Linked DNA regions of Arabidopsis thaliana. The protein of the gene in region 2 purifies or fractionates together with the protein of the main gene of each other region. This does not show direct contact. Each region holds a gene or a part of one and is shown on either strand. Other genes may lie near its edges. The genes, in order: AT1G42440, CDC25 and DRH1.

Region 1 (11,188 bases), on a different chromosome or scaffold from region 2:
AGAAGTCCTTCATCAAGATGAGTGGAGGTCTATGTTATAACATTCCCTTTACCAGATATAGCTTCGTTGCCAACAGTTTTCGCGCTGCTAGATTCTTACAGTCCTCTCATTGTCAACTTGATCAAATTTCAGTAATCTAGCAAGGATTGAAAGGAGTGCACAAAAGCAAGCAAAATCAGGAACTGAAAATGCTGGTTGGTACGAGAAATGGTAGGTCAATAACAACACCAGTTGCTAATATTACCCTGCAGTGTTTGCTTTTGTTTGATGTAAAGGAGAAGCTTATTCTTCTACTGGACTAAAACTATCATTCACTGAAAATCAGGTGGGAGAAGTACGATGCTAAAGGGTGGACAGAGAAAGGAGCACATAAGTATGGTAGACTTAATGAGCAGTCATGGTGGGAGAAGTGGGGGGAGCATTATGATGGAAGAGGATCTGTTCTCAAATGGTTTTCTATTCTAACTACTCTCTAGTCCTCAATTTTTTCCTTACTGGTTTATATATAAGGCTCCTTGTTAGCCAGAGTTACTTGAACATTAATTTGTGAAATTCTTGAGATCAAAAAGATTGTGTTAATGATTTTGATTTAGTTGTTGGTGAACAATCCACAGGACAGACAAGTGGGCTGAGACAGAGTTGGGGACCAAATGGGGAGACAAGTGGGAAGAGAAATTTTTCAGTGGGATTGGTTCACGTCAGGGGGAGACATGGCATGTATCACCTAACAGCGACCGTCAGTTCCTTCTTCTTCTTCTTCTTCTTCTTCTTCTTCTTCTTCTTCTTCTTCTTTAAATTCCTTTGTTTGACTATGTTTGTAATCTCGCCTAACCCGATAACCTCACGTTTTCAGGTTGGTCAAGAACGTGGGGAGAGGAACACTTTGGAAACGGGTAAGGAACTTTGTTTACTTGGAAGCCTCAGATGTTTGTTTGTCTGTCTTTGCACTGCATTTAGTGTAAATGGAGGTCTAATATTAGATCGTTGATCGCAGAAAGGTTCACAAGTACGGAAAGAGTACCACAGGAGAAAGCTGGGACATAGTGGTGGATGAAGAAACATACTATGAGTAAGAGAGAAAGAGCTTACATCTTAACATATAATCTAACCTTTGTGGTTTATTAATCTATCCTTGATATCATGTTTTGGTGAAGGGCTGAGCCACATTATGGGTGGGCAGATGTGGTAGGTGATTCAACACAGTTGCTTTCGATCCAACCACGAGAGAGACCTCCGGGTGTCTACCCAAACCTCGAGTTTGGGCCATCTCCACCTCCTGAGCCTGACCTACCCCCTGACCAACCACAATGACATCACATCTGTTTGTTTAGCTTATTAGCGTAATAGCCTTTTTGCTTTATCATTTTTTCGATAAATTTAGAATGTTGTGAATTATGGGTGAGATGATATAATTCTTGATCCATTTGATCCAACGTCCATCTCTTCGAATCTCTTGCTCAAGTATTAGTCCTCTCATGTCCATATATGAGGAAAATCAGCTTTTTCAACCCCGACATACAAGCTGTGTTGAATTCATATAAGTATCTATTAAAATGTACTAAAACATATCCTCACTTTCATAAAATTCAAATTTCAAACTTGTATGATATAAAAATTCAAATTTAAATATACAAATTGTGCTAAAATATAAAAAAAAAATGTGGAAAATGCTTGACACTGTTAACTCACCGTCAATTCATGTTGACGTGGATTGTTACGTGGCCAGAGACTCCAAAACGACGTCATTCGGAGTGAAATGAGATGCCAAATTTTCCGCATAAACCATCCGATGCAAAACAAGCCTAAAAACAATCACCAAGTACCTTAAACCCAACAAAGAACCTAAAATCTAAAACAAGCCTAAAAACAATCAGCAATCTATTTATGCGGAAACGACGTCGTTTATGCGGAAAATTTGGCATCTCATTTCACTCCAAACGACGTCGTTTTGGAGTCTTTGGGCACGTCACAATCCATGTCAACATGAATTGACGGTGGGTTAACAATGTTAAGCATTTTCCACGTTTTTTATATATTTTAGTTTGTATATTTCAGGTTTGCAATTTGAATTTTATGAAAGTGAGAGTTTGTTTTAGTACATTTAATAGATACTTGTACGATACTTTTTTAGTTGACCAAAAAAAATAAAAATTAGATACTTGTATGAATTCAACACAGCTTATATGTCGGGCTATGAAAAAGACGATATTCCCATATATGAGGCAGATTAATCAAATATAGGTAGCTTATTGTGAGCAAGCAAGCAATGTCTTTAATAAGAACAAGCTCAATCTATTTAAGTATTTTTCTCATAACAATTAAGCTTATCAATGGTTCAACCCCATATTCCAAATGTATATGTATAGTGAGCAATAAAGAAGAAAATTTGCATATTTTTATCACATACAGGACAAAACTGGAGGACTTCCACTAAACCACCACCATAAATTACCAAAGAAGAATGTCGTCAATTCAGAGAAACTTGAACATCATCATCTTCATTTAAAAAATTCGAATCAGAGAAGCTGTGGGTACAGACGTTCAGGCCACTTGGGATAAGCGCGCTTGTACAAGTTCATGCACACTACGTCATGTTGTTGAACCACTCCATTGAATATGCATTTCATTGCCCCTGCACAGCTCACATGTATAAGGAAAATTCCAGAAACAAAACTCTAGCTTGGCAATCTCTTCTATTAATACTAATGCCTTACCATGTGTGCCTACTGGTTCCTTCACGCGACCACGACGCCCGCATTTTGACCATACTTCAACAGGCTGCACACACAAACATTGTGCCAGCTTTAGCTTAACATAAAAATTAATACGTATATTATTCAATCCATCGATTCTATTTTTCTCTTTTACCTTGAACCATTTCACGTCTTCGGGGTTGTGGAACATATATCTGACTGAAGCTTTCATTTTCGATACTCTCTGAGGGTACCTGAACCAAACCACATTTCAAACAGCTTAGAATTACTACAGATTATGTTTTTTATCTCCCCAGTTCAAATGTCAGAGCATTAGTATCTATCCAAACTGGAATATGTGATTGTATTTGGAATGAGGTCATTACCCAGTTAATATTATCTTCTTTAAGATTATTTTGTTGGGTTCTACGCTTTTCAAGGAACCAAGGGCAGCAATGGCAGGAGGATCCGACCCTTCAGAAATCTTCAGAACTACCAAAGGAAGGGGTGGGAAAGATATGGGGCCGTATATTGAAGCCAACGAGAAACACCCTGGATGCAGGAATCTCTCCATCTTGTGCTTGTCTGAGCTGAAATTGTCGGTCGCAAATACCGGCCTGGAAATTCCCACGACAAAAATTACAAAAGATCGCAAACAAGAAAACCTACTAAAGTAGATAAAGCAGAAAAAATTTGCTACCTTGCAATGAATTGACGGAAACCAACATGGAACATTAGCTCTTCTTTTGTTTTAATAGGAGCTTCGTAACCATCATACTTCTTTACGCTGCAAAACATAGACAAAGGTGATGAGAAGAGGGCAGAGCACTCAAGGTCTCAACAAACAGATATCTTAAGAGTGATTACCTAAAATGCAGAACCGACATCTTGGATTCATGCTGCAGAAGCCCAAATCCTATAATTGGTTTCGTTGTGTTCACAAGAGAAGATAGTTTAGAGGCAGCACCAAGAGGCACTTCTTTAATATGCAGCCGTACATATGACCCAATTGGTACACAATCATCTCTGTCTTCTTCTTCCATCTTCAGGGCTTGCTTGAGCACAAGCTTTTGAGTCCTTGCGACATTATCAAAAGCAAAAATTCTAGCATAGTCCTGAGGTAAAGACTCCTGCATTTGCCAATAAATTATAAAAAATTAGCAACACTTAACTGTGAAAAATATAATGAAATTCACATCAAGATCAGTGTTATTACATTTGGATCCCACGAGGAGGTTCTGAAGGATTTAAGACCCCTGTACTTTGCAAAACGTCTTCTTGCAGGAACATCAATGGGAGTCTCTACTTCATCTGGAAATTCTGACAAAACATAAAAGAAAATTTTAATGAGTAAAAACAGAAAAGACAAAATCAATTAGCACATGAGAGATACAGAAACTCTACAAGGACTCAAATGAATATTTGCATTTATACACACAGACACACAATGACTCATACAGAACATAACTCCACACAGAGGAAATAAACACCAACCTTCGTCATCAGCATATGCCTCTTTGATTTTCTTGATTTCATCCTTAATTTGTTCTTCTGTCAAGTCTTCATCGTCCTGAACAATGAGCAAGTTGGCTTATAACATTACCAAGATAGTCGACGAGAACAAAAAATGCAATGAAGCTACAAGTACTGTTTTGTAAGTCATAAAAGTAGGTGGACAGAAATGTATACCACCATTTCGGATTCATTCTGAGTTTCAGTATCAATATCCCGCAGGTTCAATGATTTTCCGTCATCCTCAAATTCTTGGTCATACATTCCTTCTTGATTGGAATCCTCTCCTCTATCCAATACCATACCATTATCATCAGAATCACCATTATCGGAATCCTCTTCATCTGTTTCATCCACAATCCAAGCAGCCTGTAAAACAAATCATAAAACCCAAAATAAGAGGGCCACCCGCTTATAACATTTATTTTTGAGGAAAATTGCACAAGACAGAAGAATAGTTAAAATGAGGCTAGAAACATCAGGTTAAAAATAATCCAGGAACCTGATATTCTGAAGTCCCTCGCGGCAAAGTCTTCTTCTTTAGCCTGCCCTGCTTCTGATTTTTGTCAGCCTCAGCCATTTCTTCCTCTGTTGGCCATGTCTACACAAAGGAAGAATTGCACAAGTGACTTCCCAGAACAGATAACAACACGAGCCAACTGCCACCTTCATTTTTTAGAGAACTAATCAGACTTACCTGTTCCCCTGCTAAAGGATCTGGAGTGTTTTCAATTACTAAAGGCTCTTGTTTCATGGGATCAGGAACCAGAGACTTCAATACCTGGTCAAATCAAACACAGGTACAAAAAATAAAGTGAATTTACAAAGAGAAGAAAGCTGTGAAAATAGCATTATGAAAGCAAAATAACATCCTATTTTAAGAATGAAATTAAGTGTAAAATGATATTATGACAGCATTCCAACAAACTATATAACCTCTTTTCCTATAACTATATCTGAAGGATTCAACTTAATGTATCTTTTCTAAAGTAATAGTTTGTTGATTTGTAAAGAAAATATTATATATAATATACCTCTTCATCATGTGAATCATCTAATTCCATGGAATTCTGATTTTTCCTTTCATTCAAAGGAAATGGATCCTTCAGCACTTCAATTTTGGAGAATTGAAAATCCCCAACGCCAGAAACATGGACCTAATTTGAGAAAATAAATTAACAAGGGATCCATGGGTATAGCACAAGGCATGATATAGATAGCAGAATGGCTTGATTACCAGTTGATTTACAGACAGTTTGCGAGCACGCAAGTAACCAGAGAGAAGTAGAGTGCACTTTCCTGAGCTTTCATCATCCACCAGCATCCCAGCCTAAATGCACCATTCAACATTACAGAGATATTCTACTTTCTATAAAACCCTTTTCTTCTCAGAGTCAGATTAAATGTAATGAACTTATATAAGCATAAATCACACACCTTGCGAGCCACAATGTATGATCGTTGACTTCGCCAGTGAGGCACAGTAAGCCTTTGCGCCTTGAATAACCACATAAACTGCAAACAAGCCCAGAAATGTTCTACTAATTAAGAACATTAAAACTATTGAAAACCACTCAGTAAAATAATATAAAAAATTATCAGTCATAAACATTTACCTTATGCAACTCATCTCTGGTATCTGCTGGATAAAACTTACAATCCTCAGGAAATTCAGAAGCAAGTTGAGAGGCACACATCTTTTTCATCTCATTTTTCTTTTTCACATCACTGGGCAAATCCTGCAATCATACAAAACGAACTTGTTAAGCTCAACTTCAAGCAAAATTTCAAGAAATCAGAAACCTGGTCGCTACTAATATAGAGCAGAAAGAACTTACACGGATCAACACAGTAGTGCTTGGTAGACCAATTGATCTAAACACAGAAAGACACTGACTTCCGAAAGAATCTATGAAGTTAGAGCTATTCTCTTCCCACGGAGCACTTGCAGATGCAACAAAAGCCATCAAATCAGCAACCTAATACCAGTACCAAAAAAAATCAGTAAACACCTATAACAAACTCTGCTCACTGAAAGAACCAACAAACGAATACAAGACAATTCACATACCTTGGCCATTTCCATACATGTCAGAAGATCCCCATGAGGCGCCTTTAACACCTGTAATATATATAGTCACAACATTGATCACACAAATATTCATATATCTATATAAACAAATCTTAGGAATACACATACAGTTGCTCGTAGCTTATACTCAGAAGATGCAACTGTCGAAGAAGCAATTCCAGAACCATCAGAAGATAACAACTTCAAAACATCTTCACCAAGTGAATTCAATTCCACAGAAGCAGAGAGAGGAAACAAAACCTATCATCATTAGAAAATATCATAAGTGGAACATTGCAACAAACAAACACACAAACATGTAAAAACTCACGATAACACGAGGAGCACTGTTAATTCCTCCTGATGCTCTCTTCTCCTTCAAAACTGCTGCTCTCTTCTGCTCTCTAAGCATCTTACCACGTTGAACACGAGCAGCTTTAGCTCCTTTAACATAGTTACTATCCGATTTCCCAATCCGGCCACTATCTGATTCCATTCAAACGCGATTTTCAGTATGTGGAGATTGAAAGAGATGAATTGTTGAGGATTTAGGGGGTTTACCTTGAAGGTTGGTTCTATGGAGATTACGAGAAGATTTAGAGGAGAAACGAGTCTTGTGAGCTTTGTTAACTTGAACTCGAGAGCGTCCCATGGCTTCAGCAAGAGATGGTGGCTGGATTTGGTGACTGCTTTAAAGTATAAACCCTAATTTCAATTTTGCAGTTTTATTTCCTCAAGGGTTTTGTGTAGTTTGTCTTCAGACTACTTGTTTTTGTTCGACGGCTCAAAGACAAAAGTGGAAGAAGACGAAGAATTACAAAATATGTGGGCCTAACTTCACAAATAAAAATGAAGTTTATGGGCCCATTAGCCCAATATGAATGAGTATTTGTGACTTAAAATGATATTTTGCTACACATGCTTGGGGCCTAAAACTTTACCAATAAAATGCAGTTTATGGGCCTATCAGCCCAATATAAATTACTATTTGTGCTTAAAATGATATCATTTGCATGCTTAAAGCATCATTATTGGTAAGTTCTTAGATTAGTTCTTGGGATTTTTTTTTGTCTTTTATATAAATGTCATTTTGTCTCTTATATAAGAGTTAAAATGAGATGTTCTTATCATAAGAACTAATTTAAGAACTTACCAATAAGGATGTTCTTAGGGCCTTAATTATTAATATTCCTTTTTTCGGCAATATAACGTTTTGTCTTTTTTCAACTTTTACCTAATTTTAAAGAGTTTTTTTTTGTTTTTTTTTGTTTTTTTTTGGTTTTTTTAAGGTTTTTTAATTTAACCTTAAAAGTCATTTTCGTATACAAAGACAAAGAAAAACAGAAATTTTAGTGGAAAAACAAATGATATGATGAATGAAAAATTTGAAAGTTTACAAAGTTTTTTTTTGTTTTTTGTTTTTTTGAGGTTTTTGTTTTAACTTTAAAAGTCATTTTCTATACCAAAAAATAAAAACAAAATTTTAATAGAAAATAAATGATTTGAATGAATGAAAATTTTGAAAAATTACAAAAATTAGGACTAAAATTAGGTTGGAAAGGTAAAAAAGGAAAAAAATTTATAAATTCATATTATTATATCAAATTTGGCTCACAATCGTGACACGTGTTATCAATCAATTGATATGTGTCACATACAAAAACAACAACAACGGGATTGAATGTGATGTCAAAAGCGCAGAATTAAGTTTTAGGGCTAACTCTAAAACGAATCTCTTTTAATGAGTCCCCCCATCGCATATATTAGAGCTAGCTTTTCTCTTTTTATATTTTGTAAGTTAAATTCCCAACAATTGACATGTACCCGTACACTAAACTGTCTGTCCATCACATTAACTTTCACGAATTTATTATTGTAAAGATGGGAATTGACATGTAGCATTTTTTCTCCTTCTTAATTATGAGAAATCGGAACCAGATGCTCTTTTAGTTGTTTAGTTTTGGTAAAACGGTGGCGTGGTGTTGGAATGATAAAGATCAGATGAGTATGAGTGATCATGATTACTTTGAGTGGGTCGTGAAAAGCTTGATGATTTATTAATATATATAGATATTTGTGTGTTATTTGTTTTACAAAAAGAGGTTTATACTGTTGTTTTAGCATATGTTAGTACAAGTTTTTAAAGCCAATACCTTTTTCTTAATTTATAATGTGTGCCATTCTAAAAGGAGTCACATATAATATTTGAGACTGAAGAAAAAAAAGTTCTAGATCCAAAAACAATAAACTGATATATGTATATTCATCTTTCTATAAAACATTGTGCAATCACTACAAAAAAGGGTCATTTTATATCATTTATTTTGAATATTTGTATTACTTATAATTGATGTAAAAGAATTTTACATCACTTAAATAAATGACTTATATATTGTTGATGCAAATAATTGACATCAGTTAATTAATGACCGATGTTAAGATATAAAATATTTACATCAATTATTCTAACTGATATGAATATGTGTCAATTGAAAAAAATAATGTTAAATTTTACATCTATTTATTTAAGTGATGTTAGTATTAGTGTCAATTAAGAGAATTGATTTCAATTATTTACATCACTTAATAGTAATTGATGTTAATATTTGTGTTAAATATTTTTCAATAAACGATGGTTAAAAGAAACTACAAAATTTATAACAGAATTATTATCTTAAATATTTTTGTTTCGTTTTTAAATAATTTTATATAGGAAAATCGTTTTCAATATCTACTAAATCTTTTCTATTTTTTTTTTACAAATAATTATACCAGAACGTCAATTACAAAAGACAAAAACATAAATTTAACGCAGTTAATAAATTCATTAGAGATTTTACACATACAAAAAAAAAAAAGAAAGTGATATGAACTTAATTAGTTCAAGATCTAGGTATGATTTCTTCAAGAACACACATCTTGTTTCTTGTCCAAGCTTTTTCTTTTCCATTGTTTTGGTGACATTGTTTCTTCACTGTGGAGATTTTCTGAGTATGAAAACCAATAAATAGAAAATCAGAGTCATGGGTGAGAAAATGAGAAATACAAAATAATAAAAATAAGAACAGAAAAACAATTCTTCGTCGTCTTGGAAAGGTTTAGAAGATGAACATATAAGGATCAATATGATTTTGTGTTGGAGAAGTACACGTATAACTCATATTCATCGGAGTTGTATGGTTGGCATCCTTTTAAGAATTATGTGAAAATTGATGTTTCTGGAGAATTTTTAAGGAAGAGTTTTATGGAACTTCTGATTTTATATACAATAATTTTGGGAATACTACAAGTTTTATTTGAGTAGATACGGAGAGATCGTGGGTTGGTTGGGGTAGTGAAAATGAATTTTCGATTTTTAACAAAACAGTTTTTTATACATAATCGAAAAAACAATTAAAATGAGAATTTAGAGAATAAGAAAAGAGAAAACAGATTTTTAGCAATTTAAAATATAGAACACAATCTTGATTCCAAAACAATATATCTACGTTTGTGAATATAATAAACAAACAGAAAAAAAAATTATGGATGAGATTTGTGATATATTGGTTTTTTTTTAACGTATATTGTTTTAGAAAAAAAATATTTGTGCAACTTTCAAAACATGCTAATTTTAAAATACAACAGTTTTAAAAACAATTCACATAGATTAAGATAAAATTTGGAAAAAAAGATTAAGATCAGTTAAGATTGAGTGACATAAAATGGACTACGTGTTTTTTTATTTTGATTATATGTAAGTTAATTAGCATCATTTTATTATTGATACTAATTTTGCATCATTTATTTAATTGATATTTTAATTTGTATCGTTTTATAAGTGATGCTAATAATAAATTAATAAATACAACGATTATCTATTGATGTAAATATATAGGTTTGTATCAACATCTTAAAATGATCCAAATCAAAATCAATATATATATTTCTATCAATTTATCAAATTGATGCTAAACTATTTAATTAAAACATCAGCTATTATAACTGATTCTAAATCATCAATATTTGTCTCATTTATGCATAAGTGATTTAAAATAATATCACTTAATTTTATGATACAATTTAAGTTCTTAGCATCACTTTCTATTGATCTATATTTTGTATCATTTTTAAAAATGATGTTAATAAAAATAAGGGAATACATCGGTTATCTTAATTGATGTAAATACATATTTTTGTATCCATTTTCTGAAGTGATGCAAACTAATACAAATTTGTATCAATTTGATTAAATTGACACTAAACAAACTAATTAACAAATCACTTATTAGAATTGATGTTGAATTATTTATTTGTGTCATTTGCTTATAAGTAATTTAAACTAGTATCATTTATACTTCTGATTCTAGTTAATTGATGTAATCCATCACTTTTTTGTAGTGAATATTATTTTGTTAACCCTACACTTAGTGTACTAGAACTGTAAAAAATATATATCCATGTTAAAAGTAAAAAGTAGAAAACAAAAGTTTAGATAAAATATTATTATAAGAAAAAGAAAAAATAAAAAAAAAATTCGCATGTTCATTCTTCTATATTGTGCCGATACATGTATATGATCCACAGTATATTGATGATCGATATTGGGTATGTCTAACAAATAAGGTCAAAGTAAATTAGTTAACCTCAACTAAAATTGGTTTAAACCAAGTGCTAATTTAAAATTTTCTTGAAAGTTATGGTTTTCAGTTTTCCTAACTATACTATTTATCTTTGATGTTAAGATTGTATTTTTTCAAAAATATGTATACCATAATAGAGATCCAAAATATTGACTATTAGGTAGATTACAAAAATATGAGAAATATTTTTTCAAAATGACTTTGCGTCGCAAAATTTAGTAACTAAAAATTACATGAGAGACAATTTGTATTCGTCACCGATTGCACGGTGAAAAGAGAATGCAAAAGGA
Region 2 (8,039 bases):
ACCTGTATTCTCGTGTGAAGCCGGAGGAAGACACCGGAATATATTAACCGAAATCATCTTTACCATTTCTTCTTGACAAACTTCAGTGAGCTTCCCTGCTCCAGACTGTATAAAATCAACTAGCTCCAATAACGTTTGCCTCTTAATCTCCTTCTCTCTCGCATTCTTCAACGTATCCGTAAAATCAAATTGAAAACAACAAATCTGGAGTTTCCTCAAGAACAAGGATTGACGCTCGGAGACAGAGACGTCTCTGAACAAGGGAAGAGGCTCGACTGAATACATAGGAGGCGGTTGTGTGGTGGCCGCCGCCATTGAATTTGGAGAAGAAGGAACAAGCGAACCACGAGATGCGTGATTTACAATCATATTGGATCCAGGACCTGACCTACCTGGTGGATCAAACCCATACATAGACGAATCATTCGCCTCAGCTTTAGAGGCTTTTCGATTTGCCCCTTTCATGATCTTCTTAAACATGGCTTTACGCACTATAAACAGACCTCAGGAGAACCCTAATTTAGAAACCCTAGGTTTTACGTATGAGGGATTCAGTGGAAGAGAGAACTCAAATTGGATCAAAGCGTGAAAATGAAAGATGAATTCAGATTCAATTGCTTTCCAACAAAAACCTTGTACTAACGCTTCTTCTGCATCAGTCTTTGACTATTGTTCTGTGAGATCTGAGAAGATGAAAACAAAACCGTTGGATTGATAGAAGAGATCCTCGGAGAAATGACCGGAGATTTGGACAGCGATTTTTCCCGGCGAGCGAGAGAGAGAGAGAAAGAAAGAAAGGGAAGGATCTTCAAATTAAAATGGAAACAGAAAATATAAAATTAAAGGTAACGATATTAAATTTCTTCTGTTATTCAAAATCTCTCTCTTTATTGTCTTTTCAAATCAGAACCAAAGACACGAAGATATTTATTAAAGTGTTTTTAAAAATTATTTTGATTTTTGGTAAAACATTTTTATGATTTTATCCTAAACGCTAGCGTAAGTGTGATGGCTTAGTGCACGTGGCTTGTGAGTGAAGTGCTCGCAACTTTAACAATTTGGTCCATTCATATATGAATAATAATGACTATAATTATGCAAAACGAGATGCTTACTTCGTTTTTTTTTTTAATTATAAAACATTACGTTATGCTTAAAAAATAAAATTAAAAGACATGAATTTCAACTCTCCATTTAAGATTTAACATGACAATACAAAATAATGACAAGTGGTCATCACTAGATTTTGAATGTTTGATGATGAAATCAAATATCGAGTAGTCGCAATAGACAAAATCTTTAAAAATTTCTTGTTCCAAACTCTTCACTATGGATAATAACAACCTTTGAAGAAAACGAAGGGATATTATAGCAACTAACAAGAAGACAATGATTTTGGCTTTGCTTGAAAAAGTTTAGGTGGTTAAATCTAAATTTAAGTGTTTCTAAAACTAAACTTACCATAAAACTAATAATGCAACTTAGACTTTACGAGACAACATATAACGCATTAAGCTCAAGAACTAGCAGAGAGTGATCCGAGTTTTACTGAGAAATTCGAAATCTCCCACATGCAAAAAGATTCTAGACAAAAAGAGAGAGAGAGAGAGAAGTAAACATATAAGAAAATTATCTGTTACGTAGCATTTTCAACGTACATCATTCATTATCAGTATCACATCAGGTAATTTCAACTTCCAGCTTCTTCTCTTATCCAAAACATATCCACAAATACAAAAGGTTTTATTGAAGAAAAGACTCGGCCTCAATCCTGCTTAATACCACCCGTCTCCTCTACAACGCCAGGTTTAGCTATTGTTTCTGTACCTTCAGTTCCAGTTTCCGCACCCACCTAAAACAGACAAAGTGTTACACATAAGGCTCAAAAGACAAAAACTCAGAAATCAGATAAACAGTGAATGTCAGTTCTCGGAAGCTACTGGGATCATGGCATATTGTTGAATTGAAGTATAAACATATAACACCAATTGGAGGATAGAATCTATGTTTCCATCAACTAAACTGCTTCAACTAAGAAACGACTCAACCAAGAATAAAAAATGAGTAAAGTCCTTTCACTTACTTTGGTGGCGTTGTCGTTTTTAGCAACTGGCTTGAAAGGACAAGCTGGAGGAACTCTCGCTGGCTTCCTGTACTCCCATCCGAGCCACGCGTACAATTTAGCCTAGTTTATTTTTTAGCATGAACAGACAGTACTTGAGTTAACAAATGTTCACAAGTAAATACTACCTGCAAGATTCACTAAAGCACTGTTTTTTTTTTCACTTAAAAAAGATACAGTCTAAAGAAATCGATATGAAACACCAACAGAACTAAGATCTAAACATTGCTAACATGTTCAACTTTCCAAGAGCCAACCTCAAGCAAATAACAAAAGCTATATAGCTCTTCGTTTTTCACTTTTACAAGCAAAGATTATGATCATGTGCTCTCTCGCTTATCCTGATTATCATCTTCACTATCTTCTTCCCTTTCTAATCTCTAATTTTGTTATTTCTTTCAAATAAAGATATCTCCTTTGAGACTAAACGAATTCCACACTCTTTAGAACCCTAAAATTCGAAATTTGGATCCTGACATTTAATTTCCCATGAAATCTGATCATTCTTCCCATCAAAATTCCAAGGAAAAATCAAAACTTCAAGGAATATTAAGAAAGCACGAGTCAATTACCATGAAATAATCGATGATTCGAGGCATTAAATTGATGAGCGGGACGAGGAACAGAGGCACCAAACACATAACGCAAACCTACAAAATTCAGGAATTTCTTCAAACAATCTGAAATGGAAGCCGCAAGATAGACAAACGGAAGCTAGATCCATAAAAAAAAAAACAAGCGATATCGAACAAATCTTACCATGTTGAAATTAGGGTTCTTGACTCAGGGAATTGGGAATTTCGACCAAAAGATGAAAATTGGAGAGAGATCACAAATTATGATTGTAGTTCTCTGAAGTCGTCGTTGCTTTTGCTTTATGACTTTAAAAATCTACAAAAGAAAGCAAACACTCTGTATCAGCGAGAGAGTTTTGACGGCGTTAATAAAGTAACGTGCCTCTTCCAGAGAAGATACCGAAAAATCCATTATTATTTTGACGGCGTTAAGATATCAACGTGGCTTTGACGCTCCACAAACGTGCAATACCATAAAAGCCCTTTTAGTATTGTTGTTGCAAGTTTGGTGTTTGTGCTCCATGTAAACCAAACATACTGATAAGAGATTATTTATGATAATCTTCATTCAACTTTAGTACATGACAATGTGGAACATCAATTAGGTCCCAATATGGTTTAGTAGGGTTTAGGCGCAATCGCCCTTGCAAGGAACCTCTGCACAGCGGCAGACCGGTTTTCCAGAAGCTTCCCAACCGTTAAAGCCGCGTTCCAAGATCATGATGTTTTTGATTCCAGTATCTTCTTTCTTCTCATCAAGATAATTCACGAGCCTTCTCGCACAAGTAGGGCCACGAACCTGCAGGAAGAATTGGTTTCAAGGCTTTAGCAATCACTTCATGTTGAGTGCAACGAAGTACTGATTTATGTTAGGAACAAAGAAATGAGAACTGCCTCAAATCAAAGGTTGCTAAAAGACTGAGCTTGATGATTTGGGGAGCTAAGCTAATCGTTGTTCTTTGTTCTTTCTTTTAAGAATATAAAATAAGTTCCTACTCCATGACATACATAAGAATATATGGACTAGTAGGCAAACTTATCGGAAAACACTTGGATTTTGCGACCTCGAATCCACTTTTTGACACATGAAGGACCTATTGTAGACCATAAGAGATATAAATCTTCTAAGAAAACCCAATTGATGCCACTTATCTAACCTATGAAACATGAATCAACTATGTATAACATAGAGATGTACATCTCCTTCTACGAATAGCCAATTGATGCCGCTTATCTAACCTATGTGTTGTTTCTCAAAAAAGAGGAAAAGAAGATCTTATGGGGAAGTGAAAAGAGTGTAAAACACACACCTGGCTCAAGGCACAATGGAAGACAAGTGTGTCTTTGTCCTTGACATTTTGAACAAGATGTGAGATCTTGTCATCAAACGAGCCACTCGCATAGTGTAGCGATCCAGCTATATGCCCGTCATAATTCCTCTCTTCATCCCTTAAAAACATACAATTCCTCCAATGTGAGCTATACAATAGGTTCATAAAAAGTCTAAATTTGTTTAAGCCATAACTATGTATCAGAAGAACCTATATAAGTATTACAAAAAGTCTGTTTCTTTCTCAGCCCATCTAACCACAAAACCTTTGTTCCAAGCTCATGAGGTCCCTAATAGTTGTTTTTCGACAGAGATTCTACAAAATATCCAGTTTTAGAAAACATGTTCATAATTAATTGATCCCCAGAGTTCAAAAGTAAAGTAATCTCTTAAAACGCATATCAGTATTACATAGTAGAGCAAAATCAAACCTAAGAACAATAATCGGGATTGATTCGAACTAAAATTTGGTAAAGGATCAGATTAGTGACTAAAATCGACGGAAATAAATCGATTATGTTATACCTGACATCGATGATGGCGATGTTGGGACGACGATGAAGAGGGAGAAGCTGAGTAGAGGTGATGTAAGAGATGCTTCTCGCCATCGCCATTTTTTTCTTCTTAGTGAAAAAGGAAAATATGCTTCTCCCCATATCTCTCCAAACACCTTTTCTTCCCTAAAAGTCACGAACATTTCATTGAAGACTGCGACCAATTTGACGTGACGCTTACGTTTAGAGATTATTAAAGTTTAAATATTAAATGATAACAACAAGCGGGGATAGCTCAGTTGGGAGAGCGTCAGACTGAAGATCTGAAGGTCGCGTGTTCGATCCACGCTCACCGCATTGTTATAATATTTTATCTTTTAACTATTTTTTTTTACTTTTAAATATTATTTTTATTAATTCCGGGAGTCTCTCTTATTCGATACCTCTGCGACTCTGCCGAGACGTTTTGGCCTTCTTCTCTTCCGAAATCTGATACAGTAACAGAAACGAACCTAATGCCGCCTCGCCGGAGTTACCCCTTCAGTGGTCACGGAGGTACAATTGCACGATTCATTGAATTTGGGGAAGCATTTGGACACTATGGAGAAGAAGAAGACGAAGAAGAGGAAGACGAAGAGGAAGCATATGTCGACTATGGTGAAGTACAAGAGGAAGACGAGGAGGAAGAGGAGGAAGAAGATTCCGAACGCCAAACCAGGGAATACATCGATGTCCTAGACTCACCTGTTAGGGTTTCACAGAACGAGAGTGAAGGGATAGAGAATCAGAATAGGTCACAAGGTGTTTGTTCATCGTCTTCCGGATCGCAGGAGGATGTCGAATGGAAACAAGGTGACACTGAGGGATTGTCTTGTTCTATCTGTATGGAAGTTTGGACCAGCGGTGGCCAACACCAAGTCTGGTATTCTCGATTCCAGTAATTTAGCTTTGGAATTCGTTGGCTCTTTAGAGGCTATAGTGTATAGATTATGTTTTGTTTTAGCAATTTGATAATCTCATGATCTAGGTCTATCAATTTTGATGAATTATGACAGTAATTTGCTACTGGCAATTATATAGTTCTTAGTTGATTAGGTTTTTGTCATACAAAACTTTCGAACTGGATTGTGATTAGTATCTCTTTTAACTATTTGATTACTCTGGTCACGTCTAATATTTTGAGTGCAACTAATGTTCTCTTTTCTTTTTTAATCTGGTGTGATGGTACAAGTTGTCTTCCCTGTGGACACTTGTATGGATATTCCTGCATCAACAAGTGGTTTCAGCAGCGACGAAGTGGAGGGAAGGTTTGTGGTTGTTATGAAGTTGTTCAAATCCCTTTGCTGTTAGTGGATATAGTTATCTTGCTCATCGAATCACATTGGCTTCTTTTGTAGTGTCCCCTGTGCAACAAAATATGTAGCTTGAGAGATGTCCGGAAAATCTATGCATCACGGGTTGCTGCAGTAGATGATGAAGCACACAAGGTCTTACAATGAGTGTTGTTTTTCCGAAATACATTCGTAAAAGCAAATCATAGTATCAAAATCTGATATTCTTTTGTTGATATTTGCAGAGAATCTTATTTCTGGAGGCCAAGTTAAGGTCAATTGAACAGAAGGTAGGATAAATTTACTGCTCAGATAGTTCATGATATTGCTAGTATTAGTCCGCATTATTTTGGGCTTCGTTATTTGAAATGCTTTCAAATCATTCGCAATAAGATTTTCCTCAGTACTAAAACCTCTTTATGTGTTCATTATATAAGTCGTCTATGTAGGTTATGTCTGTGTTAGATGACAGGAACATATGTGTGTAGCCCGTCGTACTAGTATTGTAGCTTTTAATATGTTCTTATTTGTCATGCAGACTGCGAGTTGGAGTAACAAAGAAGTTCAATGGAAAATAACTGAAGCTGAGCTACGATTAGAAGTTACTAAGCTGAAGAAGGTACACTCTAAGAGTTTGTTGTAACGTGGTCACTCTTGTCACTTTGTTTTGTGCTTGGACAGATTAAGATTACTAGTAACTAGTCGAGTCTGGAATATTAAGTTGGTTCGTTACTCTTAAAAGGGAGCTCAGTTTGACTAAGAGTTCCCATTATAATTTCCCTCCCAACCTAAGATTATATTTATTTTTGTTTTTTTTTCTCATAAAATTGTCGCACATGTTTCTCTAGTTAGCGTCATGGCTAGAATTTTTGTTTTTGCAGAAAATAGCTAATATGGAAAGTACGACTAAGGGTTCGCAAAGCCAGTCTAATGTGGCTTCTCAGGAGAAATATATACCTGGTAATCACACAATAACATGCCCCTTTTTTTTGTTTTCTTCCTCTTGAAATTCTCTGCGTCTAAATAGTTGTAAGTGCACGCCTGCAGCTCATAATATCTACCAAGAGCATCATGGACAGTCACCTTCTTGCAGCTTCAGACATCAGGTGTGGCTTAGTGCTCCTTCAGACACATTGTTTTGGTTTAGTTGAAGTATTGTTTGTTTTGCAATTGTGTTGATGTGTATTATGCAAATTATAAAGTTCGTTACCATCCATTTTTCGTAGGGAGATCTGCTAATAAACGGTGGCCGTATATTTGACATAGATGGTGGTAGACAAATATTATTATATGCCCGTAGGCTCTCAGGCGTTGGTGGAACGTTTGTGCTTACGCAAGTAAGCTTTTTTGTTTTGCCTCTCATTTTTCTTTTTTATCTTATACCAGTAAAATGATGCACTATACGACCTTTTTTTTTAATATATTGCAGATGAGCCTACATTCGCCTTGTGAGATTGATGATATTTTGTTGCCTCGTACCACTAGAGCAATTAAAGATCTTCACCTTTCCCCTCACAATAATGGGCTTGCAGTATTTGGGTCTCTAGGAAAAAAATTATCTGTTATAAGCTTGGAGAGCCACAATACTGTCTTATCTTATGATCTACCGGCTGCACCTTGGTCTTGCTCGTGGGATCTCAAAAGCTCTCACCATATTTATGCTGGACTACAAAATGGAATGGTTTTGATATTTGACATGCGTCAAACCACGGGACCTTTCGCATCGATGACAGGCTTAACAACCAATCCAGTTCATACTGTCCATCATCTCTCTGGCAATTCCACTCCAACTTCTGATGTCCGTACCCTCTTATCTGCTTCTTCCATCGGGCTGTGTCAGTGGAACATTAGTGGTAGCGAGGGAAGGTAGAGGTCACACATCACAGAAGTTGAAGAATTTTATCATTGCATTTTTGAGGCTCTAACATGTTATAATTTCGGTTTTTTTTTCCTTTGTCTAGCCCATCATTAGTTTCGGAAACGGGAAACCCAGGTGTATGCATATCCTCCTCGTACTGTCCCCGCAGCAATCATATAGTAGCTTCTTATAGACCAAGAGTTGGATCATCTGATGATACAGTCCCGACTCAGCCCTCATTGACTCAAACAGGAGTCAGTAATAGTAATAGTAATGGTGTAGATGGATTTCATGTTTGTCACAAGAGAAGAGGTGTTGATTCGTATTAC
Region 3 (10,833 bases), on a different chromosome or scaffold from region 2:
TTTCTTCATTGTCCTATCTATAATCTCGGACATAATAGTCGTGTTAAACACATTTTGACCCTTGTCAGGAACCAACTTGGAAGGTTCAATAGAATCGAGAGATCCAAAATTCTGGCCGAATAAAAAAAAACAAATCAATCAGAAATAGACAAGTCCTCTTATAGGCTTATGATGTAGAATCATGTACAAAAAAAAAAAAGAGAGGAAGATTCGAGAAGTAGTAGTAAGTACAGTGTTAGGCGAAGTAGTGGAAACGGGTTTATAATCAGAGGCGGACCAATTAACCCTAGTCGTGGATCCGGCGAGATCTAAAGCCGAGTGAGACAATCGTGCGGCGGTGGTGGGACGTATGGGATGGAAATCATAGCTAGGAACGATCACTTCTTTCTTAGAGTCCAATCCATTATCGCCGATCACCTGCTTCTTCTGGTGATCATCGCCGTCATGATTGTTCATCAGATCGATGAAATCAGTGGAAGGTAGAGATGAAGAAGAAGATAGATCCATTATCTGCTTATCCATAAACTGACAAGTATTCATCGATCCACCCGACAATTTCTCCGACTCCCGAATTTCTTCTTTTCTTTCTAAAACCCCTCAGATCGATTTTTATTTTTTTATTTTTATTTTATTTATGTCATAAAATTGACCAAGTTGCTCATGTCGACGTACCTTCTGATTGGCGTAGAAGGTTATGGACCCTAAATGGGCCGAAATGTATTTAGAATTCAGTTTCCATCCTCTCCGTTTAAAGCCCAAATTGTGATCAATGACCTGTACCAACACTGACATAATAAGTAAATGGTATAATCAATAATGTGATCAAAGCAATGGGACCAACCTTATTTGTAATAGTATGAAATAACACGGAAAGAAAAGGGTGGACTCAGGAGCATACAATACAACATCCACATGTTTCAACGCGGCCCCTTTCATATCATCCATACAATTCTCCCCTGACATTTTCAAATTCCACACTAAAAATCAATTGGTGTTGTGGTCAGTAATTTGTCATGTTCGTACGTAAACTTTATTTTAAATAATTATTTATAGCGTTACCAACTTTTTGATATTATTATAAACGAAGAAAACCACGGCCCCTTTGTAAAGAAATGAGTGACCAAGTATGTCAAATCATTTCCATAACATTATTTACAGAACACACATGGAATGGAGAACATGAGAAGAAACAATACCGGCAAATACCACTGGCTCTTATGAGGAAAGATAAATAAAATCGAGCCAATGTTATATTGAAAAAAATGTCGGCATCGGCATGTGAGTTATTTTTATCATACTCAAAAACATTCAGATAGTAGAACGAGAGAAAAGTCACATAATAAAGACAACTCTTCTAAATAATACTAATATCAAGTTTGCAGTATATCCAAAAACAAAACAAACTTTTTTCTTCTTACATGAAAATGAGGAGGTAGACTCATGTAACATAACTCTTACCAATAGAGGAAGAAGAAAAAGTTAGCAAGAGTCGGTTACTTGTGAGAAATTCCAACAAATGCCGGAGGATTTATGCACATCTTGGAGCATCTGATAAGAGGAAAAAATTATGTTCGCTCTCACATTTCTAAATCCAAATCCAAGACTTCCATCTCCATTGTTCCTTGCCAAGTCTACTCCTGAATCAGCGTTGAGCAGAAGAAGCAGAGCTTTTTCATCTTCTAACTCTTATCCTTGGAGACCGAACCTTAGATTTAATGGCTTCAAGCTCAAGTCAGCTACAGTTCCGGAGAATGTGGAAGGAGGAGATTTGGAATCTGGAAGTTTGGTTAAAGGGTTGAAGCTAGGAGGCATGTTTGGAGTTTGGTACCTTCTCAATATCTACTACAACATTTTCAACAAACAGGTTCCTTCTTTGCTTCATTTAATTAAACAGTCCATTTCAATGCAAGAAGCAGTACTCGAACCTATTATCAGTCTTCATACAAGTATGAAACTTGTTCATTCATCGATCCAGGTACTTAGGGTTTATCCATATCCAGCGACTGTAACAGCATTTCAATTAGGGTGTGGAACGTTGATGATTGCTATAATGTGGCTCCTTAAACTCCATCCACGCCCCAAATTTTCTCCTTCTCAGGTAAATCAAATATTGATTCCGTCAAACCCTAAAAACAGAGAGATTCATTCAATTGTAATCCTCTCCAGTTTACGGTGATCGTACAACTAGCAGTAGCTCACACGTTAGGGAACTTGTTAACAAATGTGAGCTTAGGAAGAGTAAATGTCTCTTTCACCCACACTATCAAAGCAATGGAGCCTTTCTTCACCGTCTTGCTTTCTGTTCTCTTGCTCGGTGAGGTAAGCAAAACAAAGATACGCTCTGTTTCAGACTTAATCTATAACCTTAGATTATACAAGAGAGTTATATTTTCAGACATAATCTTTGAAATTTTGATTAATGTCCAGTGGCCGAGTCTGTGGATTGTTTGTTCGTTGTTACCTATTGTCGCTGGAGTCTCTTTAGCATCTTTCACAGAAGCTTCTTTCAATTGGTATGAACAACAAGAACAAGAACAAAAAAAATAGTATTCTTGATAAACTTTTGATGAAGTTTTAATTGATTTGATTAATTCATGGTATTGGGATAAACCAGGATTGGTTTCTGCAGTGCAATGGCTTCTAATGTGACGAATCAATCACGCAATGTCCTCAGTAAAAAATTCATGGTTGGAAAGGTAAAAGAGTTTGAATATAAGTTATCCTTATGATCTCAAGAAAGAAACTAGTAATCGAAATCTATTAATGTTTGTATATTGAAACAGGACGCTTTGGACAACATCAACCTTTTCTCTATAATAACCATTATCTCCTTTATCTTACTGGTTCCTTTAGCAATCCTCATCGATGGGTTCAAGGTTACTCCTTCGCATTTACAAGTAGCAGTAAGTGGAAAAGCATAAACCGATATAGCTAGATGATCTAAAAGAGAAAGAACTAATGTGTGTTTGTATGTGGTTGCTTGACAGACAAGCCAGGGTTTGTCGGTAAAAGAGTTTTGCATCATGTCTCTACTTGCTGGTGTTTGCTTGCATAGCTACCAACAGGTTGGTCCGTCTAGTTCCTCCGTTTCAGAAAAACTGTACTGAATTTTGTAAAGTCGGTTAGTGTTAGGCTTCTAATCAACACATAAAAATTGGGGTTGTTGTTGTAGGTATCGTATATGATATTGGAGATGGTGTCTCCAGTAACACACTCTGTAGGGAACTGCGTGAAGCGTGTGGTGGTTATTACATCATCCATTCTTTTCTTCAAAACTCCAGTCTCACCTCTTAACTCTATAGGTAAACAACTACTAGTAGTATATATTAGTAAAGGATTTGTTACACTTGTTCATTTTATTGAAGCAATATATAATCACTTGTTAAATAAACAGGTACCGCGACTGCACTAGCTGGAGTATATTTGTACAGCAGAGCCAAACGAGTCCAAGTCAAACCAAATCCAAAAATGTCTTGAATTTTGTATATAGAAGCTCTTAGTTTATTATTTATGCGAAAAATGTTGATATTTTTGTTCATCCATGTCGTTTTTACATGACACTATTAACTTTTGTTAAATTCAACTAATCTCATTAAATAATTCTATTCTTTACATGGAAATTATATAATGGGCCTAGGAATAAAATTGGAGTGGCCCAAAAGGGCCCAAAAGAAGGAGGCGGCTCATTAAGGTGCAGATATTTTTGTTGCGACGATGGATGGTTTTATAAACCTAACTAACAGAGACGGTCTAAAGTTGGACATCCTTGCTTTTGGTCTAACTTTCTCTCTCTTGCTTCTACGCTTCTTCTTGTGGCGTAGATTGTTATAGAGAGGGAAACCAAAAAAGGGAATCTCAAAAGCTCGAGTTCACAGATTTGACCCGAGTCTTTAATCCAATCTGCTGGTTCGTTTTCCACATTCAAACTCGACTCTTGAATATCAAATCAGGTACGCGTTTATCTGTTGACAAAATTCCTCAATCCTGACTTAGATTCCTAGAATTTGGTATTTAAGCTCTCTGTTTCAATTTCTAGTTTCTCTCTAAGATTGCGTCGGTTTGGTCGTGTTTAATTCTGATTTCTGATCGAATCCTTTTATTACGTGTTAGTTTTTTTTTTTATTGTTCGATTTGAATCCAGATCTGTGACTCGATTGCAGTTGGATGCTTTTCTCATTTATGGTTGAATTAATTGAAACCTAAGTCGAGTTTGGTGATGATTTCTGTGGATTACCGATTTGGTTTACTGAATCGCTTTGACATGTTGCAGAAGTCTTTGCTATGGCTGCTACCGCTGCTGCTTCTGTTGTCCGTTACGCACCTGAGGATCATACTCTTCCCAAGCCCTGGAAAGGCCTTATCGATGATAGAACTGGTTACTTGTACTTTTGGAATCCTGAGACCAATGTTACTCAGTACGAGAAACCAACCCCCTCTCTACCTCCTAAGTTTTCTCCCGCCGTTTCTGTTAGCTCTTCCGTTCAGGTTCAACAAACTGATGCCTATGCTCCTCCCAAGGATGACGATAAGTACTCCAGAGGCTCTGAACGTGTGTCCAGGTTTTCTGAGGTACTACATCTGGTTGCTGTTAACGATATTTTATACATTATTTCTCTGTTCATCTGTTTACTTTTTCTCAATTTGCTATAGGGTGGCAGGAGTGGACCGCCTTATTCGAACGGTGCTGCTAATGGAGTTGGGGATTCTGCTTATGGTGCAGCATCTACCAGAGTTCCTCTTCCTTCATCAGCTCCAGCAAGTGAACTATCCCCTGAGGCCTATTCCCGCCGTCATGAAATTACTGTCAGTGTAAGTATCTAAGACCTTCCTGTAACAATCACCCTCGTTTTTATGGTAGACCCCTATGTTCCTCTCTTTTATCGTTGTTTTATTTGAGCTTTTTTATTTTCTTAGATTACTGAAGTTTACTGATATTTCTTTCCCATTTCTTCAGGGGGGCCAAGTACCACCACCTCTAATGTCCTTTGAAGCTACTGGTTTTCCACCTGAGCTTCTGCGGGAGGTATGATTGGTTAATAGTAAACTGAAATGACTTAGGAACCCCTCAAACCTGATAATTGTTCTACCAATAAGCGGAATCTATAACCTTATAATTGTTCTACCAATAAGCGGAATCTGTATTGAGTGTTTTTGCTAAAGTCTGATTTATTAACATAGCTTTGTTTTTCCAGTCTCAGACTTTTCTGTCACTTAGCTAAAATCGACTTAGGTATAACATTTAGAGTCAAAGTTTTATGCCATACGCACCCTTTTCTCTTTTTTTCCCAGGTGCGATGTTTGCTCCTGGGAGGAGCCAATGTCGTACACTGTGCCACTTCTTTGAGGTCCTTGCAAATTATTTGGAGTGCCCTATATGGTGGACCAAATTTTTTGGAAAGGGCTTCCCAAATCATCCAAGCTTGTGGCAGGGCCTGTTAATGGTGTGATGATTCATTTCACCACCGGGTCCAGACAGAAGAAGAGGCGTCCTCCTGCTGCAGGTTTCATCAGTAACCTTTTGCCACCTGCAAATGGGGGATGGTGCTTCTTCTGACATGAGCCACCATTCCATAAGCCCAAAAGAACCTTGGTGTTCCCCTTCTCATAGGACAGTGTGGTTTTCTGTTTTCTTAGGTACTCAGTGCAGGTTTCTCTGCTCCAACTCCAATTCAAGCTCAGTCATGGCCCATTGCTATGCAAGGTAGGGACATAGTAGCCATTGCTAAAACTGGCTCGGGAAAAACTTTGGGTTACTTGATTCCTGGATTTTTGCATCTTCAACGTATCCGAAATGATTCGCGAATGGGCCCAACAATCTTGGTATTGTCTCCAACGAGAGAGCTGGCCACACAAATCCAAGAAGAAGCTGTTAAATTTGGGAGGTCATCAAGAATTTCGTGTACGGTATGTAGAAGTCTCTGAACTTGTAAAGTTTCAACATGCTACTTGTGAAGTATATGTCTAACGTATGCCAAATGTGTGGTCTTATTATCTCTGTTTCAGTGTTTGTATGGTGGTGCACCAAAGGGCCCTCAGTTGAGGGATTTAGAAAGAGGAGCAGATATCGTGGTTGCAACTCCTGGGAGATTGAATGATATCCTTGAAATGAGGAGGATTAGTCTGCGTCAGATATCTTATCTTGTGCTAGATGAGGCAGATAGAATGTTGGACATGGGTTTTGAACCTCAGATAAGGAAGATTGTGAAAGAAATTCCCACTAAGCGTCAAACCCTTATGTACACAGCTACATGGCCAAAGGGAGTTAGGAAAATTGCAGCTGACTTGCTTGTTAACCCTGCTCAAGTCAACATTGGCAATGTTGACGAGCTTGTGGCTAACAAGTCAATCACACAGGTATTGCTTGAACTGATTCTATTGGTTCTGCTGACTGTTTCAGGAGAATCTGATTGTTGTGCTTTTTTGGAAACAGCATATTGAAGTGGTAGCACCAATGGAGAAACAGAGGAGGTTAGAGCAGATCTTGCGGTCTCAGGAACCAGGCTCAAAGGTGATAATATTCTGCTCAACCAAAAGGATGTGTGATCAACTAACACGCAATCTAACCCGCCAATTTGGAGCTGCTGCTATACATGGAGACAAGTCCCAGCCTGAGAGAGACAATGTTCTTAATCAATTCCGCAGTGGCAGAACTCCGGTTCTTGTAGCAACCGATGTTGCTGCTCGTGGTCTGGACGTTAAGGACATCAGGTATTTATATAATCCAAATCCTCCCAGTCCTGTAAAACAAATGATTAAATTATGTGACTTGATGATTATATTAGCTAATACGATTTGAGATCACAGGGCGGTCGTAAACTATGATTTCCCCAATGGAGTGGAAGACTATGTTCATAGAATCGGAAGAACAGGAAGAGCTGGAGCGACTGGTCAGGCATTCACATTCTTTGGTGATCAAGATTCGAAACATGCTTCGGATCTGATCAAGATTTTGGAAGGAGCAAACCAGCGAGTTCCTCCTCAGATCCGCGAAATGGCTACACGTGGTGGTGGGGGAATGAACAAATTCAGTCGTTGGGGACCTCCTTCCGGCGGCCGTGGTCGTGGTGGCGACTCTGGTTATGGTGGCAGAGGTAGCTTTGCTTCCCGTGACAGGTAAAATTAACATAGGACCTCATCTTCGTAAATTTATCTCTGTATGCCACTGAAAATATGATTGTGAGTTTGAGATTGTATAAATTTTTGATGTAAAGTAGAAGCAGCAATGGATGGGGAAGAGAGCGAGAAAGGAGCCGTAGCCCTGAGAGATTCAACAGAGCTCCACCACCGTCTTCCACCGGATCTCCTCCTCGCAGCTTCCACGAGACGATGATGATGAAACACAGATGAAAAGAGAGATACAAAGCTCTGATAAAGCCAAGTGACAGAAGATTGTGTTGTGGGGGATTTCCCTTATCATTGTGACATTATATATTTTTTGGCCGATGAAGAAACAAAAGAAAAAAAAACAAGACCAAGAAGACTGTTCCCTCCCATTGGAAATTTACGCTCAAAACTACAATTGATATCTTACAGTTTGTATTTCATCTTATTTATTATTGCAGCTCAGAGATTGGTAAGAATGTTTCATTAGATACGAACGACTTTCTTCTAATACTGTGGGATTCTCTAGCATTTAAATTACAAATCAAAGTGGTAATATTATGATTTCGGTTTAGTATTGTTAGATTTGGTTTAGTGTAGTTCGATTTGATAAACTGATTCTACCCAATCGAAATAATCAAATTAAAAACCCAAGTAATATCTTAATCCAAATACGAGCTGAACAAAATCACAACTATCTAAAAGCATTAAAAAAAAAAAAAAAACTTGGATTATTTATGTGTATTTCATTTTCAAAAGTGTCATATTATAAAAATTAAGAAATAAAAATGAACATTAGAAAAAGAAGTTTGGTGAGTCTATGGCTTAGATGAAAGTGTATGTCTTGTGTACTTTGATGATAATATAATTGAGGACAGCCTATTAATCTCCAAATAGACTCTTGTTTTTTGTGGTTACAAATTAATTTTCCTTTTACAACTAAACGAATCATGAACTCCTACAATCTAAAATCAAAGCTCACACTACATGTTCACACATGGCTTATCTTCACTATCAATATTAATCTTTCATTGATTGTTAGGAGATTACTCTTTTAGGAGTTTATCCTTAATAAATCATCATCAACCAAAGTACAAACTAACATTATAAAATCATTATACATAGAATGACAGTTCAAGGTTTTTTTTTACGAATTATAGTAAACCAACTATTATTTAGTTTTAAACTTCAGTTAGTGTATGTGTTGGTTAAATCATCAAACTCAAAATATACGATAAGTAGTTGGTTAAATTATTCTTGAAAAAGAATATTAATAACCCAATTTTTATACTCTCTTACAATAATTTAATTGAATTGTAAGCTGACACATCATTTAGATTTCCAGCCACAAAACCTCACTTACTAAATTTGGCATATGAATTACACCAAACCTTCTCAATTAATTGCCCAAAAGCAAACGCTATTACAACTTTCATTTCATTTTCTCTATCTATACTACTTATATTTTCTTTGTATAAAATGTAAACTCGTTAACACACACAAACAAAAAAAGATAACGTTGAAAAAAATAAAACACATATTTCAGACTGTAGTTTAGATGTGGTAAAATATAGCAAGAATATAAAAATATCAATATAAGTTTCAAAATTTAGAGAAGAAAGAACTTCATTGATTGTGAGTTCTAAATAAATAATGGTTAGTATATATTAGTGATAGAGGGTTAGGAAGAAGTCGTTATATACATAAACTCAGTGTAATGTTTCTGTCAAGCTTTGCTTTGATTTAAGATTGTACTTTCTTCCTTCTCACTGTTTACAATTCGTGTGGTCGTGAACTAATCACGCCAAGTTCTCTCGTTTAATTATTAATTTGATGTTTAGTTTTTCTTGGCAACTTTAGAGTTATATATATGATTAAGTTTTGTAATCAAATACTTCATATTTTCATTGATTTTGCATATTAATGCATATGTTTTCATAAAAAAAGAAAAACGAGTGTAAAGTTATTGATAGTTTCTGTTACTTATTAATTTTTAAGGTTATGTGTATTATTACCAATTGGAGGACTATATAGTCGCAAGTCTCAACCCTATAAAAGAAAACATTCGTCGATCATCTTCCCGCCTCGAGTATCTCTCTCTCTCTCTCTCTTCTCTGTTTTCTTTATTGATTGCATAGACAAAAATACACACATACACAACAGAAAGAAAGATGGAGACGACGATGAAGAAGAAAGGGAGAGTGAAAGCGACAATAACGTCACAGAAAGAAGAAGAAGGAACAGTGAGAAAAGGACCTTGGACTATGGAAGAAGATTTCATCCTCTTTAATTACATCCTTAATCATGGTGAAGGTCTTTGGAACTCTGTCGCCAAAGCCTCTGGTATGCTTTTTTGCACGTATTCAAATCATGTTTTGATGATGTTTTCTATGTATATAACTAAATTTTGTTTTTATTTTGTTAATAAGGTCTAAAACGTACTGGAAAAAGTTGTCGGCTCCGGTGGCTGAACTATCTCCGACCAGATGTGCGGCGAGGGAACATAACCGAAGAAGAACAGCTTTTGATCATTCAGCTTCATGCTAAGCTTGGAAACAGGTCTTATATAGTTTCACTAATTAGTACATGCATACGTAAATCAAATCTTAAACCTAATTTTATGTTGCTAAGTAATATTATAATATGCATTAGGTGGTCGAAGATTGCGAAGCATCTTCCGGGAAGAACGGACAACGAGATAAAGAACTTCTGGAGGACAAAGATTCAGAGACACATGAAAGTGTCATCGGAAAATATGATGAATCATCAACATCATTGTTCGGGAAACTCACAGAGCTCGGGGATGACGACGCAAGGCAGCTCCGGCAAAGCCATAGACACGGCTGAGAGCTTCTCTCAGGCGAAGACGACGACGTTTAATGTGGTGGAACAACAGTCAAACGAGAATTACTGGAACGTTGAAGATCTGTGGCCCGTCCACTTGCTTAATGGTGACCACCATGTGATTTAAGATATATATATAGACCTCCTATACATTTATATGCCCCAGCTGGGTTTTTTTGTATGGTACGTTATTTGGTTTTTCTATTGCTGAAATGTCGTTGCATTTAATTTACATACGAAAAGTGCATTAAATCATTAAATCTTCAATACATATGGAGGTGGTGTTTGAGTAACTTCTGGTCGTTAAAGCATATATACTACTGTACTCTTTTTTTTTCTTTCAAATTGTTGTTGTTTTTGATGTTTGGACTCTTTCAAAGAAACCAAATATATAGCAGTTTGGTTCAGTTTGAAAACCAATTCAGAAAACGGAACAAGCTGCACACACACATACATACACAGATACAAATACATATAGGGGTAGGAATTTGGATTTTGTACACACAAAAGCACTCTCTCTCTGTATAGATCAAAGAAGGAAGGGACGTTGTTATTGTTTAGTCATCAGCTGGATCACTGGGAGTTTCATCGGCATTGCGTTTGATCGTCATAACTGGACACTCCGCATGTTTCACACAGAACGCACTCACAGTCCCCACAAAGACCCTGCAAAGCAAACCCATGTTATAACAAAACCCATCACGATTCAAAACAACAGCAATAGTAGTAACTTAGACTCTATAGTTTCAAGTTATGCCTGGCTCAATGTTTGTATAACTTAGAATGACAATTCCTTTGTTTGGCTCTGTTCCTGCCCCGTCTTGAACTAAATCTATTTAACTCAAACTTGTGTCAAGATCAAGAATCCTACCTATCTGTAATCCTTTA

What was found.
Region 1: the proteins of CDC25 (region 2) and AT1G42440 purify together in Arabidopsis thaliana (affinity purification with mass spectrometry, with the first as the bait; one large-scale study listed by BioGRID). This does not show direct contact.
Region 3: the proteins of CDC25 (region 2) and DRH1 purify together in Arabidopsis thaliana (affinity purification with mass spectrometry, with the first as the bait; one large-scale study listed by BioGRID). This does not show direct contact.

What each region holds. Positions count from the first base shown.
Region 1 is NC_003070.9:15,893,012-15,904,199, forward strand, and holds AT1G42440 (pre-rRNA-processing TSR1-like protein), read right to left. Parts: upstream 7,095-11,188; 5' UTR 6,929-7,094; coding exon 6,838-6,928; intron 6,763-6,837; coding exon 6,608-6,762; intron 6,538-6,607; coding exon 6,406-6,537; intron 6,328-6,405; coding exon 6,277-6,327; intron 6,185-6,276; coding exon 6,044-6,184; intron 5,945-6,043; coding exon 5,822-5,944; intron 5,721-5,821; coding exon 5,643-5,720; intron 5,536-5,642; coding exon 5,443-5,535; intron 5,363-5,442; coding exon 5,240-5,362; intron 4,987-5,239; coding exon 4,903-4,986; intron 4,807-4,902; coding exon 4,708-4,806; intron 4,575-4,707; coding exon 4,383-4,574; intron 4,264-4,382; coding exon 4,188-4,263; intron 4,014-4,187; coding exon 3,910-4,013; intron 3,824-3,909; coding exon 3,561-3,823; intron 3,481-3,560; coding exon 3,394-3,480; intron 3,311-3,393; coding exon 3,080-3,310; intron 2,948-3,079; coding exon 2,869-2,947; intron 2,779-2,868; coding exon 2,715-2,778; intron 2,633-2,714; and 3 more. Other genes in the region: AT1G42430 (inactive purple acid phosphatase-like protein), read left to right, coding at 1-27, 133-210, 326-451, 615-736, 854-893, 995-1,069, 1,155-1,311.
Region 2 is NC_003076.8:859,236-867,274, reverse strand, and holds CDC25 (Rhodanese/Cell cycle control phosphatase superfamily protein), read right to left. Parts: upstream 4,720-8,039; 5' UTR 4,684-4,719; coding exon 4,553-4,683; intron 4,147-4,552; coding exon 4,008-4,146; coding exon of another isoform or gene 3,951-4,007; exon of another isoform or gene 3,706-3,950; intron 3,497-3,705; coding exon 3,326-3,496; 3' UTR 3,099-3,325; downstream 1-3,098. Other genes in the region: ATB' ALPHA (Protein phosphatase 2A regulatory B subunit family protein), read right to left, coding at 1-480; AT5G03460 (uncharacterized protein), read right to left, coding at 1,766-1,852, 2,084-2,185, 2,695-2,772, 2,882-2,884; AT5G03450 (Transducin/WD40 repeat-like superfamily protein), read left to right, coding at 5,037-5,443, 5,753-5,828, 5,919-6,008, 6,098-6,142, 6,391-6,471, 6,734-6,812, 6,900-6,958, 7,079-7,189 and 2 more. UniProt on the Arabidopsis thaliana protein: Tyrosine protein phosphatase that dephosphorylates CDK complex and activate its kinase activity in vitro. Arsenate reductase that plays a major role in the reduction of arsenate to arsenite and arsenic retention in roots.
Region 3 is NC_003074.8:209,591-220,423, reverse strand, and holds DRH1 (DEAD box RNA helicase 1), read left to right. Parts: upstream 1-3,752; 5' UTR 3,753-3,950; intron 3,951-4,270; 5' UTR 4,271-4,281; coding exon 4,282-4,569; intron 4,570-4,650; coding exon 4,651-4,809; intron 4,810-4,954; coding exon 4,955-5,023; intron 5,024-5,634; coding exon 5,635-5,904; intron 5,905-6,003; coding exon 6,004-6,354; intron 6,355-6,430; coding exon 6,431-6,708; intron 6,709-6,804; coding exon 6,805-7,113; intron 7,114-7,211; coding exon 7,212-7,347; 3' UTR 7,348-7,561; exon of another isoform or gene 7,562-7,753; intron 7,754-7,900; 3' UTR 7,901-7,906; downstream 7,907-10,833. Other genes in the region: AT3G01560 (proline-rich receptor-like kinase, putative (DUF1421)), read right to left, coding at 1-111, 232-540; PPT2 (phosphoenolpyruvate (pep)/phosphate translocator 2), read left to right, coding at 1,568-1,864, 1,976-2,098, 2,167-2,319, 2,428-2,513, 2,615-2,696, 2,784-2,903, 2,988-3,065, 3,173-3,302 and 1 more; MYB57 (myb domain protein 57), read left to right, coding at 9,273-9,444, 9,531-9,660, 9,754-10,072; AT3G01520 (Adenine nucleotide alpha hydrolases-like superfamily protein), read right to left, coding at 10,503-10,611. UniProt on the Arabidopsis thaliana protein: ATP-dependent RNA helicase involved nonsense-mediated mRNA decay and ribosome biogenesis through rRNA processing.